7 linked regions of the Macaca fascicularis genome follow. The protein of the gene in region 2 interacts with the protein of the main gene of each other region in a pairwise test. Links are inferred from orthologs where the notes say so. Each region holds a gene or a part of one and is shown on either strand. Other genes may lie near its edges.

Region 1 (3,988 bases), on a different chromosome or scaffold from region 2:
CAAGGAGATGAAAGAAACAAGGCTCCTAAAGGGACTGGGTCCTGAGTCTGGGAGCTCTGAGGTCAGTGGGATTGACAGTGACTGTGACTCCTTCCCAGGAGGGGTGAGTTTCCGGGAACCTGTGCTCAGTAGAGGGGCATGACTGCGATGGGCAGAGGGCATCAGGGACCACAGGCATAAAAGCTTACAGGAAGGACTGGCAGGGCCAGAACTGGGGGTGTGGTGTTATGAGAGGGTCAGGTGGGGAGGGACAGAGGTAATAGAGGACCAGAACACACATGGGGAGCTCATTGTTTTCAGCTGGGTATCAGTGGGGTTATCAGTCCCCACTGCTTCCTCACAAGGCTGTTGTGAGAGCCCAGGTGTGCGGAAAGGAAAGCACTTGTGAAGTGAGGCTCTGATCTCCCACCGCTTCTGCCCCTGTGGTTGCCATGGCCTCTCCAGGTTTATGCTGATGCTCTCCTCATGGTTACTAACAGAGCCCTTCTACTCTTCAAAAGCATGCCAATTTTGGTGATAAATTAGTTGATTGCCTTATGTCAGACCCGAAGGACCTCTCTCAGTGGTGGAATCCAGGTCCTGTGATGGGCACTTGGGCAACTTTTTGGGGACAAGGTGTCCTGCATGAGACCGTTTTCTGCAATGACAGCCCCCTTCATCTGCTTCACAGGTGGGGCCCGGACATCATACCAGCCCTCATCTCCCGGCCGCTTCACCAAGGAGAACACCCAGAAGAATTTCAACAATCTCTATGGCACCAAAGGTAGGTGGTGGCTCAGCTTGAGGGTGCACAGAGTTCATGGGGACTGTGCAGGCAGGAGGGGTATAGAGGTGGGGCCAGGGGGCACGGGGTTCAGACCCCAGTGTGAGATGAATGTGGGAAGCTGGGATGGGTAGGGGGCCCAGACACGGGTGGAGAGGGGTCCTACCTACCGAGCTTAAAGTGTGTGTGTGTGTGTGTGTACATGCATGGGGCACACAGTTAGGCTGGAGGAAAAATAGCCAGGAATCTCGGCATCCGTGGAGATCCTTGAGTCCGTGTGCTCTTCTGATTCCTGAGGAAGGATTTGGGGAAAACTGGGGCTGAGCAGCCACCTTGGGCTTAAGTGTGGGGAAGCCCCCCAGCCAGTATGAGGGCACGAGGGCCCACAGAGAATCTACTGATTTGCATACTTCTGCAGTGAAAAGTCGTACAGTGGTTAGTTGTTAGCTTGGCTGTGACTGGAAAGGAAGGCATGGCAGGAAATGGGACTGGCCCTGGAGCTCCAGGAGGTGAGGCGAGTGAGCAGCACCTTAAGACCTAGATGAGATGAAATGGGGGTGGGGACGTGGCTTCCCTAGGGGGAGCTGCTAAGTTCAGGGTCTCCTTCTGCCCAGTGCTCCGAGGGGACCATTTGCTCCGGGGCAGGGCCATCCACTCAATGAGACCTGGTTCTGGGAGCCCTTGGTTCTGTCCTGGGGGCTCCTGGTCACGTGCCAGCCATGCACGGGGAAGGAGGGGACTGGGTCAGCCCCCGCCCCAGACATAGCACTGGAGGACTCTTCTGTGAGGACAAGAGCCATGGAGACTGGAGGGTCAGGGGCACCACAGCAATGCCTGGGCCTCTACATCCAGGATTGGATTCACAGCCGTGACCAGTGGCACCCCCTCCTCCACATATGCAGTAGACCATGGGCACCTTGAGGACAGAGCTGTGTCTGTCCTGTTTGCTGCTACAGGCCCAGAGCTCAAAAGTAGGAGGGGGTCAGGAAGCGGTTGTTGAGAGAGAGACTAAAGGCATGAGTGAACAGAAGGGCAAGGTGTCTGGCCTCGCAGAGCCCTGGCTAGACGTGCTCACTGAGGCCTTGCTACAGAGGCTGCCTGGGATCCCTGTGGGAGGGCTTTGCACAGGGGCAGGTGGCCAGCCCCAGCCATCTCTGACCCCTGAGCCCGAAAGTCAGCCCCCAGCCCTCCCCACAAGCAGCCAAGGGGTGAGCTTGACTAAGGAGGTCACTGATGTTTCAAGCCTGGCAGATGGGGGTGCTGGAGAAGTGTGCATCACCCACGGGGGCTCTGAGCCCCCCACTCTAGTGCCCTCTGAGTGCCCTAGCAGCTCCTCCCACCCCCTTCCCATTGCCTTCTCCTTTGGACTATGGGACATGCCTGCACATAGGCGTGTGCTAGCCTATTCAACTTGGCAACTATCGACTGTCTCATCCCCAAGTTTTAGGATGTGTTTGTATTTATTTGTTCATTGGTTCATGCATTCTGTCCATCAACCATACAATGAACACCTTCCAGGAACCAGGCTCTGTGCCAGGCACCAGGTGTGATGTAGGGGCCAGACAGGCACATTCCTAGTTCATGTGAGCTCACTGCGGGAGACAGACAATTGAACATATAGTTGCCACCCAGAGGGTAGGGGGTGCAGGATGATGTGGGGATGGGGCTGAGGCACATGCAGACATTGGGGAGGTGCCATGTAAGCTGACACTTGAAGACCCCACCCTTGAATCGCCGAGGGTGGGGAGCAGGAGAAGTGTCCTAGGCAGAGGACAGGGTCTGGGTACATAGCCTGGGGCAGGAGAGAAGCTGGAGTGTCTCAGACACTGAGACTTAGCCTGGTTTGAATGTCCAGTGGTGGAGGGAGGATAGAGGCGAAGCCAAGAAGTGGGAGATGGTGGGTGTGTGGTGGGGATTGGGGAGAGCAACTCACGACAGAGCCATGGGCTGCGCTTGGGACGTTGCGCCTTATTCTGAGGACAGTGGCCTTTAGGTAGGGCAGGGACTGGACTACGCTTTATATTTTAGAAAGGTAGCTATGGTGGCAGAAGGATGGGGGTGAGGTATCACTGGGATCACAAGTGGCATCCTGGGTTAAGTTGTGGCCGGCGGCTGGAGAGTCACAGACCTGGCTGTGTCCTGGTCCTGCCTCCTCTCCCCCTCCCAGCTGTGGGGGCCTGACAGCCCTTCTTTGCCCTGCCAGGTAACTACACCTCCCGGGTCTGGGAGTACTCCTCCAGCATTCAGAGCTCTGACAATGACCTGCCCGTCGTCCAAGGCAGCTCCTCCTTCTCCCTGAAAGGTGAGCTTGCCCACCCTGGCCCCTGCTTTCCTCCACAGCTGCCCCACACCTCCCAAACCCTGCTTGGGTCTCTTCCCTGAGCTGCTAGTTCCTCCCTCACCTCGCTGTCCAGTGACCACAGCCTCTCACTGGACAGAGATCTGGCCCAGGACAGACCCTGCTTGTTTCTTGAGGGCCTCAGCTTCCAGGTCATGGCCTGTGTCTTCCCAGGCCTCCCTGCAGGCTGATGGCTGACACTGAGAGTGCCTTCACTGTGCTGTGAACCAGAGCTCCTTTCTGGTCTGTCTGGGCTGAGGCGGAGGGAGTCAGGGCGGCCCCGCCTTAGACTAGCATCTTTGTAACCAAGCTCAGAGAGCGCACCTGCTCTGGGCCTCTCGGGCTTGCCGTCCTAACCCTGGGTGGCGGCCACACTGACAAATTCCTGCCTCTCTCTAGGCCCTAGTCTCTGGCTAGTGAAATGGGAGAGGCCACAGAGCCGGGGAGAAAAAACGTGAATTTGGGTTTGGGAGTCCGGCAGCACCTGGTTTGGAATCCTGACTGCTGCTTATAAGCTGTGCAACTCAGGCAAACTGCTGAGCTCATAGATACAGGGGCCAGATGAGAGCCCGGGAGCTGCCACCATGGTCTTTGCTGAAAATGAGGACAGGAGTGGGGGCTGGGCTACATCAGCGTTTCCCAGGGCTTGTTTCACCACTCTCTAGTCTCTACCTACACGCTGCAACAACAGCTCTCAGTGGTCAGGATGGGGGGACACACCATATCCCCTGCACCCAACCTCTCTGATCCTCAGGGTGCTGCTTCTCCTACTGTGGAGTTTATTTAACTCGCAGCGTTGGCTGGCTCTAGGGTCCTGTGGCCATGGAGCACCTGCCAGCATCCTGCAGAGCCAATCCTGCAGGCGCCCCTTTGGGAAAGGCAGGACC
Region 2 (3,988 bases):
TCCCTCGGCCTCCTGAGTGGCTGGGTTTACAGGCACCTGACGCCACACCTGGTTAATTTTCATATTTGTAGTAGAGACAGGATTTGACCATGTTGACCGGGCTGGTCTTGAACTCCTGGCCTTAAGTGATCTGCCCGTCTCAGCCTCCCAAACTGCTGGGATTACAGTCGTGAGCCAATGCGCCTGGCCAAAAAATAATAAATTTTAAAGTGTGTTTCTACTTGGAAGCCTGAGGGATTCTTCTGTTTTTTAAAAGAGAGTATTAACAAAGCAATTATTTTGGTATCAAATAATGGGGAAAATTTGAATTTTTCAAATTTAGACATTAACGACTGAACTATATGGATTAGAAATTACTTTTGAGGTATGGGTAAAACGATTAATAGTCCATTTTGTTAGATTTAGTTTTTGTTTTTATATTCTAGGAGATTCAGGTGTCTGGGGCTTGAAAAAAAATTTTGCTTTATTGGAACTTTTGGAACGACTGCAGAATGGGCCTATTGGTCAATATGGAGCTGCAGAAGAATCCATTGGGATATCTGGAGAGGTATTGATCATACTTGGTGAAATATTTGTTACGAGCATGAATTTTTCTTTTAATATATGCCATTATTAGCACAATATTACCTCATTTAATTCAGCAGGTAAATTTCTAGAAACACAACTTTGCATTACATTACAGTTCTAAAGGCCAGCACTATTCCCAAGAGAAAAAAGTAGAACTAGAATTATTTGAAAATACGATGCCTAAACTATGCCTTATGTGTGAACTTTTTTTCCCTTATCATAATTCAGTTCTACCAAGGATAAAGTGAAAAGAGGAAGAAGATTATAGCATAGTAAGAAAGATAAGTAAGCAACAGTGGAGCAGAGGATGCAAAAGTAAATTAGTCAACAGAAAAACTCAATGAGAGAAAGTAAAACTCCATGTAAGAGGCCATTTAATATACAGGGAAAATTGCCTTAAAGATAGCAGTAGCTTCTGAGGGAATTGTTACTATTCTATCTTCAAGAAAAAGTTAAACTTTGTATAGATGTACTGTCTTTATCCATACAGGTAGATATCTGGTAAATATTAGAATCCATGAACACTGGATTTTTTAATAATGTAAAAGTATATTTTTAGCACTTACGTATTATTTGCACAGCTGCACATATGTACTATAGGACATGGCTTTCATAGGCTATTATGGATAGAAATATATTTGGAGTAAATATCAGTTAATGATTTTGGTGATCAACTTGCAAACCACATATTTGTATCAAGAAAAAAAATGTCGGATTGCTTTCTGCTTCTCTTTTATTAGATGATGATTTCTTTATACTGAAGTGAATCAGTGAAATTAATTTCAAACTGCAACACTCTGTTTTCTAAAATTTCTGCAGTTCTTTCATGTGCTAAATCTTTACTTCAAAAGACATTACTGTTAGCTAATGTTGACTTTATAATTTATAATTTATTTATTTGTCAGGTCTGGAAAACAGAAGACCTGAATTTTTATGGTACATATATACACTTCTTATAATTGCAAACAAAACTCTTCCACTTTGGATTCGTTTTTTATTTAATGTGATAATGAATGACACCACTGATGTATTTAAACATTTTTATTTTTGAAAAAATTTATACTAAATTTCTCCCCTTCCACTTATGGCCTTTTAACGTTTAGTAAAAGTGTTCAAAGCATTCTTGATTATCTGACATGTAATATTTTATCTACTTGAAATAAAAATAATTATTTAGTAATTATTTTTTGTAATTCCTGAAAACTAGAAATAATATTTAGATGCTTACATATAGGTTTTATTTGTTTATTAATTGTTATTTTTTAAGACAGAGTCTTGCTCTGTCACCCTTGCTGGAGTGCAGTGGCGTGATCTCAGTTACCTGCAGTCTCTGCCTCCTGGCTTCAAGTGATTCTTGTGCCTCAGCTACCTGAGTAGCTGGAATTACAGGTGTGCACCACCACACCTGACCAATTTTTGGATGTTTAGTAGAGATAGAGTTTCTCCATGTTGGCCAGACTGGTCTCTTACTCCTGGCCTCAAGTGATTACCTGCCTCAGCCTTCTTAAAGTGCTGGGATTACAGGTGTGAGCCACTGAGCCTGGCCTATTTTTTTTTTTTAATTATTTGCTTAAATCAGTGGTTTTCTGCCATGATTGTGCAATAGACTCACCTGTGGAGCTATTAAAATATGTGGTGTATAATTAGAAAAATATATACAAGTCTAGGGTTCATCCACAACCTGTTGAAATAAGAATTTCTCAGATTAGCGTCCAGACAACTATGTTTTTAAAAGCTTACAGCTAATTCCTACATTTTCTAAATAGTATTTGTGCTTCTGTCCTTCCTGTACATCATCATGACAACTAATACTTAAAGCTATGGGGTTATGTTTAGTATCAGATTTTTGTAGTTTTAAAAAAAGACTTTTGACTTCTCTATGGTTTAGTTTCTTTTGTGTAAAGTGAGGGGATTTGGTGGAAGAGATCTTTGCACCGAATATGAATCTACGAGAATAGTTTTATTTTTGGCTTCAAATTCATAACATATATTGGTCAGTTAATCTTGGAAATAGCTTCTTACCTGTAGAAATGAATGTTTCTCGGATGAGTATTGAATGACCTTTGTGCTTAATGACCAATATATTTTCATATGTAAATATTGGTCAGTAAAGCTAAAAAGATTATGGGATTCTATATTTAAAAATTTGTCATGTTATACTGATTGGGTTCAATTTTAAGGCATTAATTTTTTGTTTATCAGAGCATCATTCGTTGTGATGAAGATGAAGCTCACCTTGCATCTGTATATTGCACTGTGTGTGCAACTCATTTGTGCTCTGAGTGTTCTCAAGTTACTCATTCTACAAAGACATTAGCAAAGCACAGGCGAGTTCCTCTAGCTGATAAACCTCATGAGAAAACCATGTGCTCTCAGCACCAGGTGCATGCCATTGAGTTTGTTTGCTTAGAAGAAGGTTGTCAAACTAGCCCACTCATGTGCTGTGTCTGCAAAGAATATGGAAAACACCAAGGTCACAAGGTATGAATTTAATTATTAATCAATTGGATCACTGTAGCTACTTTACCAGCTCAGTATTCGTTTTCACTGACCTGGTTCTTTATTCTGAAAGTAGGCATTGAAGAAGAGTTAAGTGATGAATGATTGTGTTTGGTAGCATGAAAATAAATGAGAGATTTAATTTCTAAATGTTATTTAAAAAAGAAAAACTTCAAAGAGCGTCATTCTTCACAAAAAAATAGCCTTTGAGCAGGAAACAAACATTCTCTTTGTTTGCATGTTTTCATAATGCACCAGATTGTTTGACAATATTTATGTCTGTTAGCTCTTACTTAGGATATAATTTTAGAGATAGTCTCTTGGTTTCTTATTTAGCAATAAATGTACTTCCAAATTTTAAATTACTTCTTTGCAGTACAGTTTTCTTATAAAGGAGTGAAAGTAAATTATAGTATTTTTCTGTGTTATAAAAGTCACTTGTGGCTGATGCTTTTTTGTATTAACAGGGATTTAAATATTTTTCTATATTATTAGTCAATACTATGAGTTCTTTTCTCATGTTACATTTTATAGCATTCAGTATTGGAACCAGAAGCTAATCAGATCCGAGCATCAATTTTAGATATGGCTCACTGCATACGGACCTTCACAGAGGAAATCTCAGATTATTCCAGAAAATTAGTTGGAATTGTACAGCACATTGAAGGAGGAGAACAAATCGTGGAAGATGGAATTGGAATGGCTCACACAGAACATGTATGGTTTTTTTTTCTTCTTCCCCTTTCTCCTTGTTTTTTATTTTTCATATTTTCACCTTCTACTAAGTATTTAATGAGCAATTACAATTTGCTAGTATTGCACCAGTCATTGGAAAGTTTTTTAAAAGTCCCTGTGTTTAAGGAAGTCATTCATCACGGAACAGAGAGAGTTTTAAATGTGGTGACTATTTTATGGAGGAGAA
Region 3 (3,988 bases), on a different chromosome or scaffold from region 2:
ATTCAGGCTTTCATCCTTGCCCCAGAATGCCCGCATGCATTTTCAGTTACAAATGGGAAGAGAGAATTATTTCACAGTCCCACCACCAAGACTGGGTCTCATTAAGATTCTAGTGCCATGAATCAGCCCTAGAGAGTGAAAGAGTGGTTTAAGAAATGTAATCATTTCCTCCCACACCCCTACAGGGATGTTGCGTTGGGACTTACCGTGGTAATTCCAGCCACATGACCCAGGATGGGGACCAGTCACTGGGTGGGGCCATGTTGTGGTTGGAGTCCAGTGCTGCTGGGCTGCTGCAGTCTTCCTGGGGCTCATACTCCTTAACTTCCAAAGCTTTGAGTACTATCGAGGACGATGTTCTTTTCAATAATGCCACTGCCTCACTCCGGCTAACCTCTGTCAGTTCGACCCCATCCACATTCAACAAAATGTCACCTGATGGCCAGAGAAGCAGAAGCTATCTTGAGTGAGAGCACAAACATGACTTCTGCTTCAAGTGCAAGGGGGTAGGGGCTGATGGGATGCAGACATGCAGAGGGTAAAGGTTTTCTTTGTTAACGGGAGGCTGGGTGCCCACAAAGCACATGGTAAAGTGTGTGCATTCCAAGGTGCCGTTAAGACTTGTTTGGGGTTTTCTAAAGCACACCTATTGGTGTTTGGCTCTTGCTGAAGGAAGGAAGGAAGGAAGGAAGGAAGAGAGAGAGGAAAATTAGTCTTGTTCACTATTTAATCAAAGAAAACCTACTTTTTCACTCTTTTGTTTCTTGTGTTTAGCATAAAGTAGGAGGATTTGGCAAAAGCTCCAGCATTTGCACAGAGCCAGGCATGTAGTAGGCATCCAGTAAATATGGATTGAATGAAAAGAAACTACCCATGAGAGTGTCTGGCAGAGGAGTCGTGGAGCTGCACTTTTTTTTTTTTTTGAAGTGGAGTCTCGCTGTCTTGCCCAGGCTGGAGTGCAGCGGCCGGATCTCAGCTCACTGCAAGCTCCGCCTCCTGGGTTCACACCATTCTCCTGCCTCAGCCTCCCGAGTAGGTGGGACTATAGGCGCCCGCCACCTCACCCGGCTAGTTTTTTGTATTTTTTAGTAGAGACGGGGTTTCACTGTGTTAGCCAGGATGATCTCGATCTCCTGACCTCATGATCCGCCCGTCTCGGCCTCCCAAAGTGCTGGGATTACAGGCGTGAGCCACTGCGCCCGGCCAGAGCTGCACTCTTAAAGAAGCAGAAAGAACAACATTTTCATTGCCAAGGTGAAAATAGCTACTACTGATTAAGCACCTACAATGTGCAAGATCATTTCCATACAGATCATATAATCCTCTAGCTCATGTTCTGTTAAGAAGTCATTTGTTAACAAGCCACTTTGTTTGGCCTCATCATTCTCCACCCAGGTGTTTTGCAGAAAAGAGAAATTAAAACATACATCTCTCCTATTTCCATTTTCTATTCTTTTATCTTCATCCTGTTTCTTTCTGTCCTCTTTTGCTTATCTTTCTTAGACAGAATAACCACAGCAAGAGCAAAAAAGATAGGAGGAGAAAAAAGAGAAGGGCCCTGAGTCCTTTCTGACCCAAAAGAAGCATCTTTCAGCCAGCTGACTAAATCTCTTAATATACCATCCCCCTGTGGCTCCTCAGGCTCAGCAACTGTACTTGGGAAACTTCAATATATCTCTTGAATCTGGACTTTTAAATGGCATAAATCCTCATCCATCCGAGCTACCCTCTTGTATGAACTGACAATATTATTAAGGATACATATTTGTAGAGGCAAATTTGATATCACCTTCCTTTATTTATTCAAAGTAGCCCAGAACATATGAGCTTAAAGTAGTGAAATACTTTTCACCCTGGGAAAGTATCTAGCATGATACTTTCACTTAATGAGTATTCATGGAATCAAATCTATCAAATGAGTTTTTCTATCTAACTCACATAATGGAATAATTCATGAATTAGTTTCACCACTGGATCAACCCACCAAAGAACCATGTAGAATGAATGGAACTAAATTATGCCATTTAATAGAGGTAACTTGCTCATAACTTTAGCAGTTCTCTATTAATTCCTGGAACTGTTTGGAGATTCCAGCTTTACTTGCAGGCAAGTTGGCCTGCAACTAAGAAGAGTGGAACCTGGTCTAGTATCTATACTCAAACCAGTCAAGGGCAATGGGTAACAAAAGTCCTGGCTGATCACTCCCACATTCTCTCATTAATTTTGAAAATAGTCACCTAACACAACAAGCTACTAATTTCTCATAATACTCTGCCACCCCAGTGCCTTTAACATCCCTTTACTTTTTACCTGTTTTTATTCTTCCATCTCTGCTTATGACTCCTCCGGGCTCAACACTGATGACATAGATAGGCAAATCCCATTCTCTATGTGATGCTCCCCCTGCGACGGTCATGCCGAGAGATTCGCCGGGGTCTTTTTGGATATTTACCACCTTCTCATGACAAGTAATTTTAGGATGGAGGGGCTGAAAGCACAGACAGAAAAACATGGCACATGAATTTACAACTCTGGTAGTTTTTGAATGTAGAAAATGCAAAGTGGGTTTCCGTTTTCTAAATGCAAAAACTACCAAAACTGCATAAATTATGAAAAGTGCATAAATACAATGGTGGTTCTTGAAATCACAGAGAAAGACACGTGGAAAGAACCCTCAACTTATTCACCCCAACCATAATAGGGTTACATTGTCCCAAATTCTATAGGTTAACTCAGATAAAGTTTACATTTCAAAAGGAAAGAGTAAAAATGGAGGAAGGAACAGATTAGAGACCATTAGAAAAATACATTTCTAAAATATTTTTGGTGGAGACAAAGCCTTGCTTTATTGCTCAGGCTGGTCTCGAACTCCTGGCTCCAAGTGCCTTGGCCTCCCAAAGTGCTGGGATTACAAGCATGAGCCACTGCGTCTGGCCATGGAAGAATCTTAAGTACACAGACTGCACTCAAAATTTCGCAAGTGAGTCATTTATTCCTGATAGTAGTGAGTCAGCATTTCAGAAACACTGTCATTTATGAGTATCAGAAACTTTTCTAAGTTAAAAAAAGTAACCACATTTTATAGAGTCTTCTTTCACACCTGCTCAGTACTTACCAGACAGCCTTGCCTGCGGTGAGCAAGCGATGTTTAGTTGTGCACTGAGGGGCTGGATGCAATGGCTGAAATACCACAAATACGACATGTATGCATGTGTTCTGTGTCTCATGAACCAATGTTCATGACCATTTCCTTTCTCAACCAGAAAGAGACCAATGTCAGCAATGGGAAAAAAAAAAAAAAGAAATAATCTGTGAAAGCTTCATACCCGGGGTTACCTGACTTTGGCTGGAGAGGAGGATAGTTATGTATGATAGAGATGACTTTTCTATCTATCTTTTCTCTCCATTCTCCTCACCCTACTTTGGACACCTTAAAATGTTCCTTGATGTTTAAAAACATAATTTATGATAAAATAGTTTAAGCTAATTAAAAACACGATGGGTACCTGAGTATTTCTCAAACTATAAGACGTATTTCTATTTTAGAATATTTGCTTTGGATATTTAGAATAAAACATTTTAGACAAGTAACAAAGCATAAAGAATAACAGAATGACCTACCCATGTACCTCAAAACCCTACATCAGAAATAAACATTCCATGTGCACTTAGTCCCTCTGTCACTCTTTCTGCTCATAGTCCTTTCCTCCCCACAGAGGGAAACCATGCAAAATTTGATGCCTATCATTCCTTGACTTTTTTAATTGGCTAAAAGTTTTCTGTCCCACAAATCCTGCTTTGTCTTCTTTGGTATTTCTTTGAATTGTTTAAGCTCTTATTTTTAAAAAGCTACCTAGTTTCCTAAACCAAACAAAATTTTAGTAAGAATATAAAAATTGAAATCATCAAAGAATCATATATGTCTTAGTTTTATTTTAAATATGTTACTTTTTTGTGAGGATATTTCAGAAGGCAGATAGAATATAAG
Region 4 (4,584 bases), on a different chromosome or scaffold from region 2:
AGTCTGGAAGAAGAATTGTTAATAGCAGTCTACATTTGTGTACTGCCTTAGGTCAGTTCTGGGTGCTTTACAGATACTAACCCACATGTGAGCTCTAAGGGCAGGATTCTCCACCTTGGAGGACATTTGGGATTGGATCATTCTCTGTGGTTGGGGGGCATCCTATGCATGGTAGGATATTTGAGCAGCATCCCTGGCCTCCACCCACTAGATGTCAGTATCATTTCCCCAGTTATGAAAACCAAAAGAAGTCTCTAGGCCAGGCACAGTGGCTCACACCTGCAATCCCAGCACTTTGGAAGGCTGAGGCAGGCGGATCGCCCAAGGTCAGGAGTTTGAGACCAGCCTGGCCAACGTTGTGAAACCCTATCTCTACTAAAAATACAAAAATTAGGCAGGTGTGGTGGTATACATCTGTAGTCCCAGCTACTCAGGAGGCTGAGGCTGCAGAATCACTTGAACCCGGGAGGTGGAGGCTGCAGTGAGCCAAGATCTCGCCACTGCACTCCAGCCTGGACAAGAGTCAGACTTGGTCTCCAAAACAAAAAAGTCTCCAAACATTGCCAACTATCCCTTGGGGGTCAAAATCCCTTCCTGTCACCTAGTTGATAAACACTGCTCTAAAGGAAAGGGTGGTGACTTTTATTATCCCCAATTTACAAAAGGGGAAACTGAGGCACAGAGGAAATCATCCACCACCACACAGTGAGCAGAACTGGGATGAACCCAGGTTTTGGGCCCCAGAGTAAAACACTCAGCCACATGCCAAGTAGCCTTGTAGTACATCAAGCATTATTCCAGGGGTCATCTCTAGTACTGGTTCCGCAGGGAGGCTGTCCCGCTGCCCTGAAGCCTGGGGAGGCCTCCTCTAAGCTGTGGGACCCCACCAGAGGCTTGCAGAAGCTCCAGAAAACTTTCACTTTTACTTTTCCTGTATGCCCTCTCCATTATTTCTATTTTTCTTTCTTTCCTTCTTTTTTGAGACAGGGCCTCACTCTTATCAGTCAGGCTGGAGTGCAGTGGTGCGATCTTGACTCTCTGCAACCTCCACCTCCCAGTTCGAGCAATCTTCCTGCCTCAGCCTCCTGAGTAGCTGGGACTACAGATGCCTGCCACCACCACAACCAGCTAATTTCCTTACTTTACATTGTAGAGACAGGATCTCACTATGTTGCCCAGGCTGGTCTCGAACTCCTGGACTCAAGCGATCTGCCCACCTCGGCCTCCCAAAGTGCTGGAATTACAGGTGTGAGCCACCACACCCGGCCTTCTATTTGAATTAAATCCTTTTCTTCTTCTTTTTTTTTTTTTTTTTTTGAGACAGAGTCTTGCTCTGTTGCCCAGGCTGGAGTGCACTGGCACCATCTCAGCTCACTGCAACATCGGATTCCCAGGTTCAAGTGATTCTCCTGCCTCAGCCTCCCGAGTAGGTGGGACTACAGGCACGTGCCACAACACCTGGCTAATTTTTGTATTATCAGTAGAGATGGGGTTTCACCATGTTGGTCAGGCTGGTCTCAAACTCCTGACCTTGTGATCTGCCCACTTGGCCTCCCAAAGTGCTGGGATTACAGGCACGAGCCACTGCACCTGGCCAATCCTTATTTTCTTTTAAGGAGGTTGGGACGGTCATGTTAGCCAAATCTGCAATACACAAGCCCACATTCTTCCCACGAGCAGAAGTAGAAATCAAGAAGTGTTCATTTGAATGAACATACCTGAGGTCCGCAGCTTCTTCCTCTTTGTCATTTTATCTTCCCCTTGAGAAATCTGAAAACAAGCAAAATCTCTCATCATTATAAGCAGTCCCTGTCTCTGTTTATATCCAGTGGCTTTGGCTGAGAGCAGAGGTTACCCCCGCCTCCACCTCGGCTCATGTGGCTGCCCCAGGGGTCAGATGGCTCCCATTGGGACACAGCGTGGGACACAGAGTCACAGCTACTTTGGACCATGGCCAGGTAGGAATTCAAACCTCCTCCAAACTAAAGATCTTATGCCCAGGACCTGAAAGACAAATGGGACCTCGGGGGTCCTTATGGGAAGCCCCGGGGACCTACACTCTGGTCCCTGGGATGAAACAGCCTGTGTGAACCCTCCCTCCCGACTAGGGTATCTGGGGGCCCTTCCAAGGACACTTGAGGACTCTCCAGGGGCCTCTGGGGCCTTTGGAGACCAGCCCGGCCAATATGGTGAAACCCCCTCTCTACTAAAAATACAAAAATTAGGCTGGGCGCGGTGGCTCACGCCTGTAATCTCAGCACTTTAGGAGGCTGAGGTGGGCGGATCACTTGAGGTCAGGAGTTCCAGACCAGCCTGACCAATACGGTGAAACCCCGTCCGTCTCTACTAAAAGTACAAAAATTAGCTGGGCGTGGTGGCACACACCTGTAATCCCAGCTACTCGGATGGCTGAGACAGTAGAATTCCTTGAACCCAGGAGGCGGAGCTTGCAGTGAGCCGAGATCGCTCCACTACACTCCAGCCTGGGCGACAGAGCAAGACTCCGTCTCAAAAAAAAAAAAAAAAAAAAAAAAAAAAAAATTAGCCAGGCATGGTGGCACACACCCGTAATCCCAGCTACTCAGGAGGTTGTGGCACGAGGATCGCTTGAACCCAGGAGGCAGAGGTTGCAGTGAGCCAAGATCATGCCATTTTAAAGGGGACAGCTGCATCCTTGGAGGGGCAAGAGCTGCCACAGGCCGGTTTCTCCCAGCCTTGGGGGCCAGGCAAGCCAAAACGGACCTGGGCCGCAGAAGTCGCTGAAGACCCTCTGTCCTTATCAGAGACGAACTCTGCCTGGATCCGTTGGGAATAAGTCGGTTGAATTATCAGCGTTTACTCTTTTTGGAAAAAATAAATGGCCAAATTGGCCCTCACAGAAGCCTGGAGGCCTCGAGTCGGGAGCTGAAGGATGGAAAGGCCTGAGGGTGGGCGCTGTGGACCCCGCTCCCGGTGACAAGCCCCACACTAACACTACGTCGACCACCGAAAAGTGAGAACTCCACAGTGAGTCCTCACAGTGAGTCCTTCCGCCCACGTGAAGCCGGAGCCTATCGGTGACTGAGGGACGCTGTGAACCTCACACAGGTCGCCGCCCCTCCCACCTGCGCTCGCTCTGCCTCTTTCCCGCGCCTCGCGAGGCCCCGCCCCGCGCATGCGCGACGCAAGCACCGCCCACGCAGCCCGCGACTGTGAGCACCGCCCTGCGAAGCGCATGCGCGCCCGCGCACTGCCTGCCGGGAGTTGTAGTTTCGGCTCGGCGGACCCGGCGAGTCCAGTGGCCGCGCTCCGGTGCAGCGGCGCCCGAGGCCCGAGGCGGAAGTGGGGCGGCCAAGCAGGGAGGCGAGGGCTTGGGATCGACGGCCGCGGAGCGCCGACGAGGGTTGCAGGACTCAGGAAGGGCGCGTGCGCGGCGACAGGGCCCGGGGAAGGAGGCAGGGCAAGGCCGGGCTTGGGGGCAGGTGGTTCGGGCATCCAGCCTGGAAGATGCACAAGAGGAAAGGACCCCCGGGACCCCCGGGCAGAGGCGCCGCGGCCGCCCGCCAGGTGAGTCTGCGCCCCACGGCGCGACCTGGGGATCCCTCCCCACCCCGGTCACACACTCAGGGAAGGGCCCCACCCCCCAGGGAGGCCCGATCTCCGCCCCCCAGGTAAACCCCGGTCCCCGCCCCCCCTCCAGGTGAGGCCCCAACCCCACTCAAGTGTGGTCTACTACTGGCCTTGGCTCCCCAGCTCCTGGGGCCCTGCCCCAGGTTCGGGGCCACCTGTTGCCACAGCTGCTCCAGTCGGGGAGGGGCAGTCCTCGGACTTGACACATCAAACCCTTGCATCAGTCGGGCCATGCCAGACTCTATTCCATTGTACAGATGAGGACGTTGAGACTCAGAGACGTGAAGACATCTGCCCAAGGTCATAGGGATTAACAGCTTGGCCAGAGCTAAGCACAAATCCAGGGCCGCAGCCGTAAGCTTATGGCACTTATGGCACTGTGGCTGGGCCCCTTCTCCCTCTCCCAACTCCTCTGCCCCAGGCACCAGATAGTTTGATTTTTCTGTTTTCATGGAAGGAGCCCAGGACATAGCTTGGTGTTCAGATATTAGAGTCTGGCTGACCTGAAGTTCCCTCCTGGCCTCTGTACATTGGACATTTGACTTTACAGCTCTGAGCCTCAGCTTTCTCATCTGTAAAATGGAGACCTCTATAATCCCAGCACTTCAGGAGATGGAGGCAGAGGCGGGAGAGTCATTTGAGGCCAGAGTTTGAGACCAGCCTGGGCAAAAGCGAGACCCCCGTCTCAACAAAAAATAAAAGGACTAACTGGGCATGGCGGCATGTGCCTGTAGTCCTAGCTATTTGGGAGGCTAAGAAGGGAGGATTGCTTGAGCCTAGGAGTTCAAGACTGCAGTGAGCTATGATCGCACTACTTCTGCTCCAGCCTGGGTGATAGAACAAGAATCTCTAAAATAAAAATTAAAAATTAAAAATGGAAGCCGGGTGCGGTGTCTCACACCTGTAATCCCAGCACTTTGGGAGGCCATGGCGAAACCCCATCTCTATTAAAAATACAAAAATTAGCTGGGCATG
Region 5 (3,988 bases), on a different chromosome or scaffold from region 2:
GACTCAATGGCAAATGACTTGACCATTCCACTTTAGCCTTTGGGCCCTGGGAGTTTCCTCTCCTGGTGTGTAAAGTGGCGTTGACAACACTGAATTACCTATGGCCTGCTAGTCCGGCTCTCAAAAATGCCTTATGCAAACCTGCTTGTTAGTAACTGTAAAGTACAAAAGTTAAAAAGCACCTGGGTGTCTAAATTTGAAAATAATTCAGTGTTTAAGGCTGACATTTTGAGAAAAAAACAAAAAACAAAAAACAAGTTTAATTGTATGCCATTAATTTGTGACATTTCCAGTTTAAAACTCACAATTCAATGGGCTGCATTTTTTTCAACCCCCAAACAATAAATCTTTTGGGGGAATGTTTAAAACAAAAAACGTTAACTCCTTAATCTCCTTTGGCAAGTGCAAAATACTTTTTATAAAGAAAAGTTAAACTGTTTCTTATATTACTCTATAAGTAGGGCAATAAAGTTATTTGAAATTTTATCAAATTGTAATTATAGTCAAACTGTAAAGAAACCAAAAAACCTCAAATATATATCCACAGCCAGTATTCCTTCAATTTATACATTTAGAAAAACTAGCTAAGTATTCAAACAAATGAACAAAAAAGATCACCCAAGCCTTGTGTCTTGGCAGACGTGTAGCAATGATTGCATTCTGTTGAAATTTCCCCTTTGCAAAATCTAGAGCAAAGATAAGGCTTTTTTTCTTCTTGTGCTTACTTTCAGTTCTTTATTGAGATGCACCAGTATAAAATTCCCTAAGTAACATCTGGAATTCCCCAGTGCTAAGTTATTTGACTAGCAATTGAGCAACAGCTATTGTACTTTTTGTTCTGGTGTGTAGACATTTAAACTGCGAAGTGCACCCTGGACTTTCCAAGTGGGTGTGGTCAGGGTGAGCTGGAATAGGGCTACTCATTATACAAGTGAAATCGCTGCAGCCAATAGACGCTGGAATTTTTCACATGAAGTTTCAATTTTATGCCACCTACTCCCTTCCTCATTCACCACAGTCTCATATCCTCAAATGCAAACTTGTGAATCACCCCCTCCCCAAACAGATATTGCCTTTGAAGAACCCTCCTATCAAGGGAAGGATTAATTTTTTTTAAAAGGTGCTAATCAAAATCAAATTTAAAAAGTCATTTGTTTTCCTCCCCTCCCTAAATATCTTTTCTTCGTTTTTTAGAATCTTAAGGAGTTTTCTTGAAAGTGAAGAAACAAAAGGATTCTGAGTCCAAAAATGATTTCCCAGAAAATGTTACACAAATACACCTGCTTTTGTAGTTTTATTTCTAGTGTGGCTCCTTGTTGATTTAAATGACATATTTGCAAAATAAGTGTTTCCTATTTATATTCCTTTTTTTTTCCTAGTGGAAATAGAGCATTTCCTTTCTTAAGGAAATAAAGCAAAAAGTCAGTTAATTCTCTTAATAAGGTTTTCCCCTTTCTACCACATTTTTAATTCAGCAGAATCTTTGTTTCTAACTCCCCCAGAGTTGACTCCATCTCTTTTTGGTAACAAATGGGAGAGGATTAAAACCACAAATTGTCAGGCACATAAACCCCGTGATGATGACTTCACATAATTACCTACCTCTATGTATCACTTTATTTAATGCCAAGAACAATGCAGACAGTAGCCATCCCCAGTTTTCTTTCTATGTATGTTTCTAAGAATCAGTGTTTCATAAGTCTAGGCAAGATGTTGGGGTAATGTACAAGAGTCCCCAGAATCAAAATTTAAAAACCCATGTCCACTAATCACTCTAAGTTACCCAAGTCAAAAAAAGCCAAAGTTAATGTACCAATGAAGTTAATTAAGTTAGTGTTCTTATCGTAATCATTGTCAACAAGGATTTTCTTCCCTTGGACATATTATTTCTATTAGGATGGCTTGGGACTGTCACAGATATAAGGACCTGAGATTCCTGCTCTTATGTAGACTATGAGCATTTAATTGATCTTGTACAGTCTACTTGCTTATTGTCATAATTATCCACATCCATAGAGTAGAATTTTGTGCCTGCATGGAGCAGTATGCTCTGACATTCCTGTTAATGCACATATTCTTACCCAAGGGAAATGATTAAAAAACAAAACAGTAAAGCTTGGAATAGGAAATAGCTACTAGTGGTAAAGGCCATTGGCAGAACAGCACAGACAGGAAGGAATTCAGTGACTAAGAACCCCTAAAAATAATGAAGGTGAAGTCTAAAATTCATGCTAAAAATTTCAGCTATCTATTTCACCTTGCAGGGCATAGGCAATAGAACCTAGGTCAGAGAGGAGGAGGAGACAAACGAAGTTCTTCATGTCTTCAACAGCCATTCACTGGTTAACCCATAAAATGCTACCAATTCAAGAAGTGTAAGAACATCACAAGCATTTTCTAATGACAGTGGGAAACAAATGTACTACCAGTTTTCACACCATGCTTTCCTTTTGAACTTAAAGGCTTGTAACATTTCCATTACGGGCCAGTGAAGGGTATTTTACAGATGATTAAACATTTGCAAGAATGAGAAACAAATTGCCTAATCGGGGTATGGTGTTTACAAATGCATTCTCCAAGCCTCAATGTGCTCTGCAATATACGCAATCAGAAAATATCCTTAATAAATAGATTCACAAAACAAGTCTGCTATTATCACATGCCCCGAATAGAGATTCTATACTAAGGTCTCAATACTAAATCTCAAGACTGATTTGAGCTTGGGCTTGTGCTAGTAAAGCTTGAATGGGGACCCAGCAGGCGGGAGCTATCACCCAGGCAAAAGAAGCACAACAGATCAAGTTTTACCGTTCGTTTTCAGCGCCACAAGCTTCCTGACTTCTCGACACCAGTTGAGTTTCTTCTGGCTTTCCAGGGAAGCCTGGATGTTTTTGTCGATGAGGGCTTTGTGGATGATCTCCCGAAACTGAGGACAAAACTGGCAAGTTCTGAACATTTCCAGTGTGTATCGGTGCATGGTTTTAAAATGATGAATGATCCCATTAGTAGGTTTAAAAATATCTTCTGGAGTTCTCTCCCGTATCTTCACAGCTTTCCGCATATTGCTCAAATACAAAGCCTGAGGAAGGACTTGTTCAGCCATTGTGCTCTCCAACACCTGAAAAGGAAAGGAAAAAAAAGCCATTCCATTAGCCTAACTTTAATACGACTCCTATATAGCTGCCTGCAGGAAACCCCAGTGTTTGATCTTGTCATTACCCTGATCTGTAGGCAAAAGATCTTAGCACCTCTACTCCCGGGATACTAGCTGGCCCCAGAGATTAACTCACACTGGACTGTTTTAAGTTACATCACTTGAAAAGATTAGCCTAAACAGGAGAAGGAAGGCAGAGAGTGGGTACTGAGGAGGAGGGGAATAACCCGTGTTTTCAGTAACTTTTGTCAGGGAGCCAACCCTGTCTGACAGCAACAGGTACTGCTCCTCAAAACCAACGTAAGCTCCTGTTTCATTCTGAGGCCACGCTGAACAGCGCTGGATTTGGGGAGTACCGGATGCCAGTTAAGGGCTCAACATAGCCCTGACAAGTCTGTAGCTCCTCCCCTCAGACCACCACCAGGCAATCCTACTCTTGGGCCAAATCTTGAGTTATCACTCCCTCCCCTATGCTGGAAGGACAGTAAAATACTTTATGAAAAATCTTGCAATTTTATGCTGTCACTTAGGCTGCTGGCTGGTGTTTCCTCTTTATTCCCAAAGAGAAGTATTTATAAAGTGTGTATTCATAAAGTTTATTCTAATGTTTATAAAGAGTTAAAACCGAATGTTTTCTAATCAATAAAAAAGCCCATTTCCACCAAGATACTTTGTAATTTTAAGAGCAGTCAGCATTCCTTCAGAACCTCCCAATAGGACTTCATATCAGAATAAGAAACAGACTAACAATAGGCTAGGCATGGTGGCTCACGCCTTTAATCCTGGCACTTTGGGAGGTCTAGGAGGGAGGATCACTTGAGCTCATGAATTTGA
Region 6 (4,695 bases), on a different chromosome or scaffold from region 2:
ATACTAAGTTCTGGTCAGGAGCTCAGGGACCTTAGTTATGGCAGAGAACTTTAGAGATGGATATTGATGGATGCAGGATGGTCAGGACACGAAGCAGACCAGAGGGACTAGAACGGTAGCATGCAGGAGGCCACAGCTCGTCCTCATCACAGTGGTACAGGGACTGCATCTGGTTCTCTGTTCCCTCTCCTTCAATAGTTCTCTGTTCCCTCTCCTCCAATGGAACAGGCTATTGCAGGAGGCGACAAGTTCCCTGTGCCTAGAGGATTCAAGCTTAGGTTAAACAGTAACTAGGAAGAGATGTTGCAGAGGTGATTTAATCTGGAGGTGAAAGTATGCCACATTCATGGTCACTTTCAACCCTGAGCTCCCGACCAGCAACTAGTTCCTTTGCATTTCACTACTCTCCAAACTCGCCTCACTTCAGTCAATGGGTGTTCATTCACTCAGGACAGTTATTGTGCACCAGCTATATGCCATGGGCCAGGAGTCAGTAGTGAACAGGACAACACACCTCTGCCCTCTTGAATCCTATGTTCTCCTGGGTGGATGCACACAATAAACCCATAAATCAATGCATGAATAAGATCATCCCAGGCAAGCTCTATGAATAAAATACAAGAAAGAATGTGATAGAAACTAATGGGGGAGGGGCTGCTTTGGATAGAGTAGTCAGAAGAACCATCTGTACAGGGGAGACATCTGGGCAAAAGGGCAAGAAAGAGCCCAGCATGGAAGAAGTGATGGAAAAGCATGCTAGGTTGAGGGAACAGCAAGTGCAAAGGCCCTCAGAAGTCTTCTGAAAACTTGAACTCAAACGTTCATGAATTGCATCCCAGCCTAAAGGTCTCACCACAGGCCAACAGTGCCTAATCTCACAGCCTGCGTCTCTTTCCCCTAATTGACCAAGTCAAGGCTGACCTGTATTGCCTACTGAAAAGTGCGTTCTGGGAGGGTGAACAAGGGCAGCCCCCAATTTGCAGGGAATTGAGATGTAACGGGGGCAAGAACCTTCACTTTCCTACCAGAAGTTCAGAGTCCACTTACAGGCCTCATGGAGAATACAATGTAAGGGGAAACTTCTGGAAAAATAACTGTGCCTCATGTATATTTCAGGACATTCCCTGGGGCTCCAGGTACAGAGCTCTTATCTGTGGAGTTCAGAAGACAGAAACTAAATTTCCAAGAAGATACTAAACGGGTGCAGCCCAGGAGAACTCTACAGATGGAGGGAGCAATCTGCTAGAGATGAATGAATGCGGGAGAAGAAGACAAGATCAGGTCCCCGGACCCTGAAAGAGACTCCCGCACTCACAGAGACTAGACAATATCAGCCTGTCAGGGGACCCAAGGCCTAAAAGAATCAAGTGAAATCTACCCACCCTCCCCCCGCCAACAAGAGGCAAACATCCAATCGCACCCCAGAGCTTCCAAAGAAGATCCAAGACCCCACTTCCCAACAGAGTCCTTGACAAAGTTCATCTCTAATTCCACATTCTGAGATATACTTTGCACAAGGCTGGTTAGCCACAGGAAGTATTACAGCAAAGCTCAAATTTCCCAGGGCGGAAGAGAACACCATGGCTCCTGTGTAAACACCACCAGCTCCTTACCAGAAGAAGGGGAAGGAGCAACAGCCTGCAGACCCACCTCATTGAGAAGCTAGGGCTGTGTACGCGCTGTTAGATGTCAGTGATAATAATCACAAGAGCAGCTAACACAGAGGATTTATCCTGCCCCAGTCAGTATTTTAAGCACTTTATCCCTATACAAGTCTTTAAGGTTTGTACTATTTTCATCCCCACCTTACAGATGAGAAAACTGAGGCATAGGTAAGTGAAGTAACTTGCCCAGGACTACACAGCTAAGACAAAGATCCAGCGAAGCTCTCCTCCTCCACACCCCAGGGAAGAAAGTGGTTATACCTGGGTAGTGCATGAAACGCTTAAAAATAAGTTTCTACCGGTACATTCAGGTCAACTACCGTCTGGCAATTCCCACGTCCTCGCCCAGTGCGGGAAGCAAGCCTGGGACAGGCAGTAAATCCAGCAACCCGAGTCCTCTAGGAACAAGGCGCTCTGTTTCCGCAACATTCAAGCGCGTGATGGGGCCGCTGATAGTGCAAAAGCAGCTCTCCACCACCGCAAAGCCCATGGGAACCCGTTTCCACTCGGCTCAGTCGGCCTCAGAAAACGCTCACCCGTCTCTGGCTGCGAGGCACCCACGCTGACCTTAACCCCTTGGCGTCCGCCACCCTGGCGTCCTATCTCTGGATCTTCTGGCCGCTCGGTTTAAAAGATGCAGCCGCCGGGACAAGGGCCTCAGGCAGGCTGGGACGGTGCCCGCCGCCCGGAGCGCCCTGAGTCCGGCTCGCCCGCCGCGAAGTGACCCGCAGCCCTGTGAGCCGCCACCAGCAGCGCGCAACGCGACGCTGACCTGCGAGTGCCCCGCCAGGCTGGAGAAGAAAGTTGGGCGAAAGGGGCGCGTCCCAGGACAGGTGGCGCCTCCCTCCCAGGAAGTGGCTCCGGGAATTTTCGCTCAAGGGGCTACCCGGGGACCAGAGTCAGGGTCCCCAGCAGGAGCGACGACTGGTCGAGGTTGGCGGTGGCACTGCCCACTTGCACTGCGCCCAGTGCGCCCCCGTGCGCTGGACGTACCCTAGACCAGGGAGCGCTCAGGTCCCGCCGGGGGCGCCGAGACCTGGCGGGGTAACTCGGAGGTGGGAGTGGCGGGGGTCCAGCTCCGGGACCGGGGCAAAGGAGGAACCAGCCCGGAAGAGGGTCTCACTCCGGGAGATCTAGCGGGGGTGTCCCACCAAGGGGGTGTCCAGCCGGGAAGGGTCTAGCCGGGGAGCGGGGTTCCCGGCTGCTGCCCGCACTCACCTCGGCCCCCGCGCTAGTTCGGCCTCTCCAGGCTGGAGAACTCACCGCGGAGGCGGCGGCGGATCCCCTGGGCGGGGCGGGGCCGGGGGCGGGGAGGCCGGGCCGGCCACGTGGGCGGGAGGCGGGCCGGGGACCCCCGCGGGCGCCGAAGCCGGGCGACGCAGGACTAGGACGTGGCCACGCCCGGCCACCGCTCGACACTCCAGCTCCCCATGCACGGCCTAGGTCTACGGGAAGGCTAGAAAGAGGAGAGCGGAGACCCCAGGACATCCCTCCCCCGCCGCCACCTAAATCAGACTGAGGCTGAGAGAATTAACCGAGTCGGAGGAGTAAACAGCCCTGCCTCTGGCTCCAGCTGTCCCGCCAGAGAACGCGCCGCGGAAACCCCGAGGGTGGGTCGAGGGCCGGGTACCCTAGTGGGAGGGGACTCTCGTGCGGGGGTGGTAGGGGCTGCCCTAGCGGTCCAGGGCCAGAGCCTGCACGCGGAGCTCCCACCCCCACCGCTGGGCAGATCTTGGGCGTGTCAGATCTTGCCCAAGCCTCACTTTCCTCGATGGTGGAGGTGAGAATGAGAACGAGCTGCGTGAATCCGGGCGCACTGTAGGCTCTCAGGAATCGCCGGCTTGTAGGTGGACGCCGAGCCTGAAAGTGAGGAGCCTGGGTCGTGCATGCGGAAATCAACATGGGACTCTAAATAAAACGAGTTTCTGCAGGCATTCATTCATTCAACAGATGAACGCCTACGGTCCTCATCACCTCTTAAAATCAGAAATAAAGAATGCCCTAGACTGTCGTTACTGGGCTCTTAAGAAAATGTAAACCCCGATGCTAAAAATGAAAAATTCATCAGTTGCCCCCATGTGCCGGCAGTGCATTTTAGGTGCTTGATCGAAATTAACATTCACGACAGCCTGTGCGGGCCCGCTTCTCAAATGAAGAAATCGAAGCTTAGCGAGGTGAAGCCAGCCCCCAGAGCCAGAGGATCACAGTCTGGCCCCCTGTTTACAGAGGAAAGAGCATCAGCCCAAGGTACTAAGGCTCTTGCCCAGGTGCAGGAAGGGGGTGAGGGTTGAGAGCTCCCTGGGAGGCCACCTGTCGTGACAGCAGCAGCTGGGATGCAGATCTTCCAGATTTACTTCATAGCAACCTCTGCCTTCTGTTGCCAGTGCTCAGCCCCGCAGTGCTGGGTGGCCTCTTCCTGGCCTACAGCCCACCTTTTGGGCCAGAAACTGGGCATCTTGAGCAAACCAACTTCTATTCCAACAGCTGCAACTTCATTCCACTACAGCTTGACCCCAGACCCAATGCATTGTGACCCACCAGTTTCCTGTTCAGGGAACACACTCTCCCCAGTACTCCATTTCCAAGGACAACTCCTGTGTCCAGACCCCTAGTCCTCAGTCTTTTCCCCAAGAACCTTTTGTCATTCTCCTTACTCCCTAATGCAGAAGATCCCTACGACAACCAGCCGTGTTTATCAAGTAATTACATTTATTAAGCAAAGGGCTTCTCCTGTCTCTGAAGTGCCTGCTCCCTCATCTGAGCTCAGCAGTGGCTTCAGATCCACCAGCCAACACCTGGTGTTCTACTCAGGCAGGTTTGTCAGAGAAAAGTTTTCTTTGCATTAGATTCAATTTAACAATTATTTGAGCATCTACTACATGCCACACACTGTGCTAGGCTCTGGGGACAGTAGTGACTGTCCCCAGATACCGAGACAGACAGTCCCTGACCTCATGGAGCTTATGAGCTGATGAAGGAGACAGTCAACTGACCCCTCACCGGGCAGCAAGAGAGCAGGATGTGGTGACAG
Region 7 (2,795 bases), on a different chromosome or scaffold from region 2:
GCCCACCAAGGCTGAGGTTAGTCACAGGGACCTGAGGACCCTCCAGAAGAGCAGAGCACAGGCGGGGCATCCCAGCTCCACCACACCCCCGCAGCCCTGGTGTCATCTGTGATAGTACCTCACAGTGCCTTCGAGGAACAGTTCAGGGAGACAGTGCGTGGGAAGCATGGAGAGGCACCCAGCATGTGATCAGTGCCGTGTGAACAGGGTTGATGCCATTACCTTACTCAGGCTGGCAAGGACACAGGACTGAGACAGCCTGTCTGCCTAAGAACCACACTCGGGATCCCCACTGCCCTCTTACTGGCGTGACACCAGACAGCACCACCTGCCTCCTGGGACATTAGAGGTGGCTATGTCGGGAGGACCCCTGGGACTCCTGGGTGGGAGATGAGCGGAAACATGCACATCAAGTGACCTCGCCAAGCCTGTCCATTTTCTACTTTCTAGAGTAAATCACTTGTTTTAGAACAGTAGGAACAAATAGAAACAACCAGCTTAAACCACGATCATTTCAAAAGATTGATTAAAAGCCAGCCAAAAAAAGCCTTCAAGTTGAGGCTGAAGAACACAAATAGAGTTGTCTGTGGATGACATGACTGTTTCCCCAGCACAAGGTTCCCAACCACAGGCAGCAGATATCCAAACATGCCATGGGAGATAAGCTGTTTAACCCTCTGGAACCTAGACAAAACAGGAAGAATAGAGAAGTGCAGAAGTGCACGTGAAAACAGGGCTCAGCACATTTCCAGGGTGGAGAAATATTTAATAAAATCAGGGTTGAGAGAAAGTTAGTTGTACAATTCATCTCCCACATTCATTGCTGACCAGGCCAGGGGCACCTGGTTTGAAATCAGGCTGACCTCCGGACAGTCGCACTAGCGCACTGTGTTTCAGGGAAATCTCAGGGTGATGCTGAGGCCGAGGCCCCAAAAGTCAAGTAAGTCAGCCCCACAGGCTGAGGAGCCCTGAAGGTTGGGGGAGCTGTGGCTGCGCTGCCTCTATCCTGCTGAGTGTGTGCTGCCCAGGCCTCACTCGTTCAGGAGCTTGTGCTTGACTGTGGTGCTCTCGGAGCAGAGATGGATGAAGAGGGTGCCGGCAGCGGTGCGGGCCCGCAGCTCCTGCAGCTCGTAGTCATGGGCCCACTCAATGTTGCCCCACTTCTGGATCTGAGGGACAGACAAGACAAGTTGCTGGGTGAGTGGCCAGTGCCTGGCTGCCTCCTGGCCAAAGCCACATTCCATTCCAATAGCTCGGCTGAGGGCAACAGGTTTGGATCTTGCCAAAACACGAGACATGCCTAGAGGGAGGCGGCAGGTAAGAACACCGAGGTGGGCCAGGCACAGTGGCTCACGCCTGTAATCCCAGCACTCTGGGAGGCCAAGGCAGGAAGACTGCTTGAACCCAGGAGTTCAAGATCAGCCTGGGCAAATATGGTGAAACCTCATCTCTACAAAAAGTTTTAAAAATTAGCTGGGTGTGGTGGGGGTGCACCTATAGTCCCAGCTACTTGAGAGGTTGAGGTAGGAGGACTGCTTTGAGCCCAGGAGGTTGAGGCTGCAGTGAGCCAAGATCATACCGCTGCACTCCAACCTGGGCAACACAGCAACACCCTGTCTCAAGAGCACCACACACACACACATACACACACACACAACCACTCAGGGAGCCAGAGCAGGCACCTGTGCTTTCTGTGGCATGGATGGTCTAGAAGAAGTACAGTCCAGGCCCAGGGCCAGTAGCTGCCCACCCACCACTGAGCAGGCTGGGTACCAGAACCACCCATGTGACTTCTTTGAGGAGGCCTGACTTATGTGCCATCCCTTCTCCTACACTTCCTCCCGGGAAGCCTGTGAACGGACAGCCTCTGCAAGTTGCCTTGCCATGCTGGGCTACAAGTGCACCCCGAGCCCCATGTGGGTGGAATAACTAAATCAAGCAAGGCCATGCAGTGGCTTCAACTCTAACTCTTGTGGTAGTCACAGAACTACAGATGCCTCTGCTCTGCACACTGGGGACACGTTGCAGATTCTCTGTCTGGAGCTCTTTTTTTTTTTTTTTTGAGACGGAGTCTCGCTCTGTCGCCCAGGCTGGAGTGCAGTGGCCGGATCTCAGCTCACTGCAAGCTCCGCCTCCCGGGTTTACGCCATTCTCCTGCCTCAGCCTCCCAAGTAGCTGGGACTACAGGCGCCCGCCACCTCGCCCGGCTAGTTTTTTGTATTTTTAGTAGAGACGGGGTTTCACCATGTTAGCCAGGATGGGTCTGGAGCTCTAAAAACAAGAGGGAGGAACCCTCAGACACACGGTGTGGCTGTCCAGACAGTGTAACTCCAACCAGACCCTGCTGGCTCCTCCCTGGCTAGTTGCCCAAGAGGCCTGGCCTGGCCGCCCCAGCTCATCCAGGAACTCAGAATCTGCCATGCTACACAAGCTATTTGAACTTCTGGGCTGCCTGGTCCCAAACTGTACAATTGTAATAAGTCATCTGAAGAGTATTCCATACTTTCATTGTATACCATCACATACATAATTCAGGTTATTCCTCTGTTTGTAGAGGATCGAAACCAAAGTTCAGAGAATGATGGCCTGGCTTGGGTCCCATAGTCAGAAGCAGTGCCCAGACTGGCTTCCCACCAGCCCTACAAGTCACCCCCTTCCTATGTAATCGGTTCTGACATCCAGAGAATAGTAGCAGGCCTACTTTGTTATACAAAAATAGTTTTTTTCCCTGGCATTTTTCTGAGCAGAAGACTATAAGAACTAGGGAAATACATCACAAAAAGCTTTTTTTTTGT

Evidence for each region.
Region 1: the proteins of TRIM23 (region 2) and TRIM29 interact in binary tests that used the Homo sapiens proteins (3 or more experiments, as listed by UniProt). The link is inferred for Macaca fascicularis from reciprocal best matches to the Homo sapiens genes TRIM23 and TRIM29.
Region 3: the proteins of TRIM23 (region 2) and LNX1 interact in binary tests that used the Homo sapiens proteins (3 or more experiments, as listed by UniProt). The link is inferred for Macaca fascicularis from reciprocal best matches to the Homo sapiens genes TRIM23 and LNX1.
Region 4: the proteins of TRIM23 (region 2) and BRME1 interact in binary tests that used the Homo sapiens proteins (3 or more experiments, as listed by UniProt). The two-hybrid records come from large-scale screens. The link is inferred for Macaca fascicularis from reciprocal best matches to the Homo sapiens genes TRIM23 and BRME1.
Region 5: the proteins of TRIM23 (region 2) and TNFAIP3 interact in binary tests that used the Homo sapiens proteins (3 or more experiments, as listed by UniProt). The two-hybrid records come from large-scale screens. The link is inferred for Macaca fascicularis from reciprocal best matches to the Homo sapiens genes TRIM23 and TNFAIP3.
Region 6: the proteins of TRIM23 (region 2) and ARHGEF3 interact in binary tests that used the Homo sapiens proteins (3 or more experiments, as listed by UniProt). The link is inferred for Macaca fascicularis from reciprocal best matches to the Homo sapiens genes TRIM23 and ARHGEF3.
Region 7: the proteins of TRIM23 (region 2) and ATPAF2 interact in binary tests that used the Homo sapiens proteins (3 or more experiments, as listed by UniProt). The two-hybrid records come from large-scale screens. The link is inferred for Macaca fascicularis from reciprocal best matches to the Homo sapiens genes TRIM23 and ATPAF2.

The regions. Positions count from the first base shown.
Region 1 is NC_088388.1:118,981,695-118,985,682, reverse strand, and holds part of TRIM29 (tripartite motif-containing protein 29), read left to right. Parts: intron 1-670; coding exon 671-763; intron 764-2,966; coding exon 2,967-3,065; intron 3,066-3,988.
Region 2 is NC_088380.1:71,308,371-71,312,358, reverse strand, and holds part of TRIM23 (E3 ubiquitin-protein ligase TRIM23), read left to right. Parts: intron 1-425; coding exon 426-547; intron 548-2,769; coding exon 2,770-3,048; intron 3,049-3,600; coding exon 3,601-3,783; intron 3,784-3,988.
Region 3 is NC_088379.1:80,434,194-80,438,181, reverse strand, and holds part of LNX1 (E3 ubiquitin-protein ligase LNX), read right to left. Parts: intron 2,489-3,988; coding exon 2,311-2,488; intron 436-2,310; coding exon 207-435; intron 1-206.
Region 4 is NC_088393.1:14,324,819-14,329,402, forward strand, and holds the start of BRME1 (break repair meiotic recombinase recruitment factor 1), read right to left. Parts: upstream 3,153-4,584; 5' UTR 3,105-3,152; exon of another isoform or gene 2,743-3,104; intron 1,771-2,742; 5' UTR 1,750-1,770; coding exon 1,719-1,749; intron 1-1,718. Other genes in the region: CC2D1A (coiled-coil and C2 domain-containing protein 1A), read left to right, coding at 3,487-3,546. UniProt on the Homo sapiens protein: Meiotic recombination factor component of recombination bridges involved in meiotic double-strand break repair.
Region 5 is NC_088378.1:41,910,660-41,914,647, reverse strand, and holds part of TNFAIP3 (tumor necrosis factor alpha-induced protein 3), read right to left. Parts: intron 3,496-3,988; exon of another isoform or gene 3,220-3,495; intron 3,119-3,219; coding exon 2,809-3,118; intron 1-2,808. UniProt on the Homo sapiens protein: Ubiquitin-editing enzyme that contains both ubiquitin ligase and deubiquitinase activities.
Region 6 is NC_088376.1:120,162,135-120,166,829, forward strand, and holds the start of ARHGEF3 (rho guanine nucleotide exchange factor 3), read right to left. Parts: upstream 2,917-4,695; 5' UTR 2,201-2,916; intron 1-2,200. UniProt on the Homo sapiens protein: Acts as a guanine nucleotide exchange factor (GEF) for RhoA and RhoB GTPases.
Region 7 is NC_088390.1:18,132,799-18,135,593, forward strand, and holds the end of ATPAF2 (ATP synthase mitochondrial F1 complex assembly factor 2), read right to left. Parts: intron 1,170-2,795; coding exon 1,032-1,169; 3' UTR 746-1,031; downstream 1-745. UniProt on the Homo sapiens protein: Plays a role in the assembly of the F1 component of the mitochondrial ATP synthase (ATPase).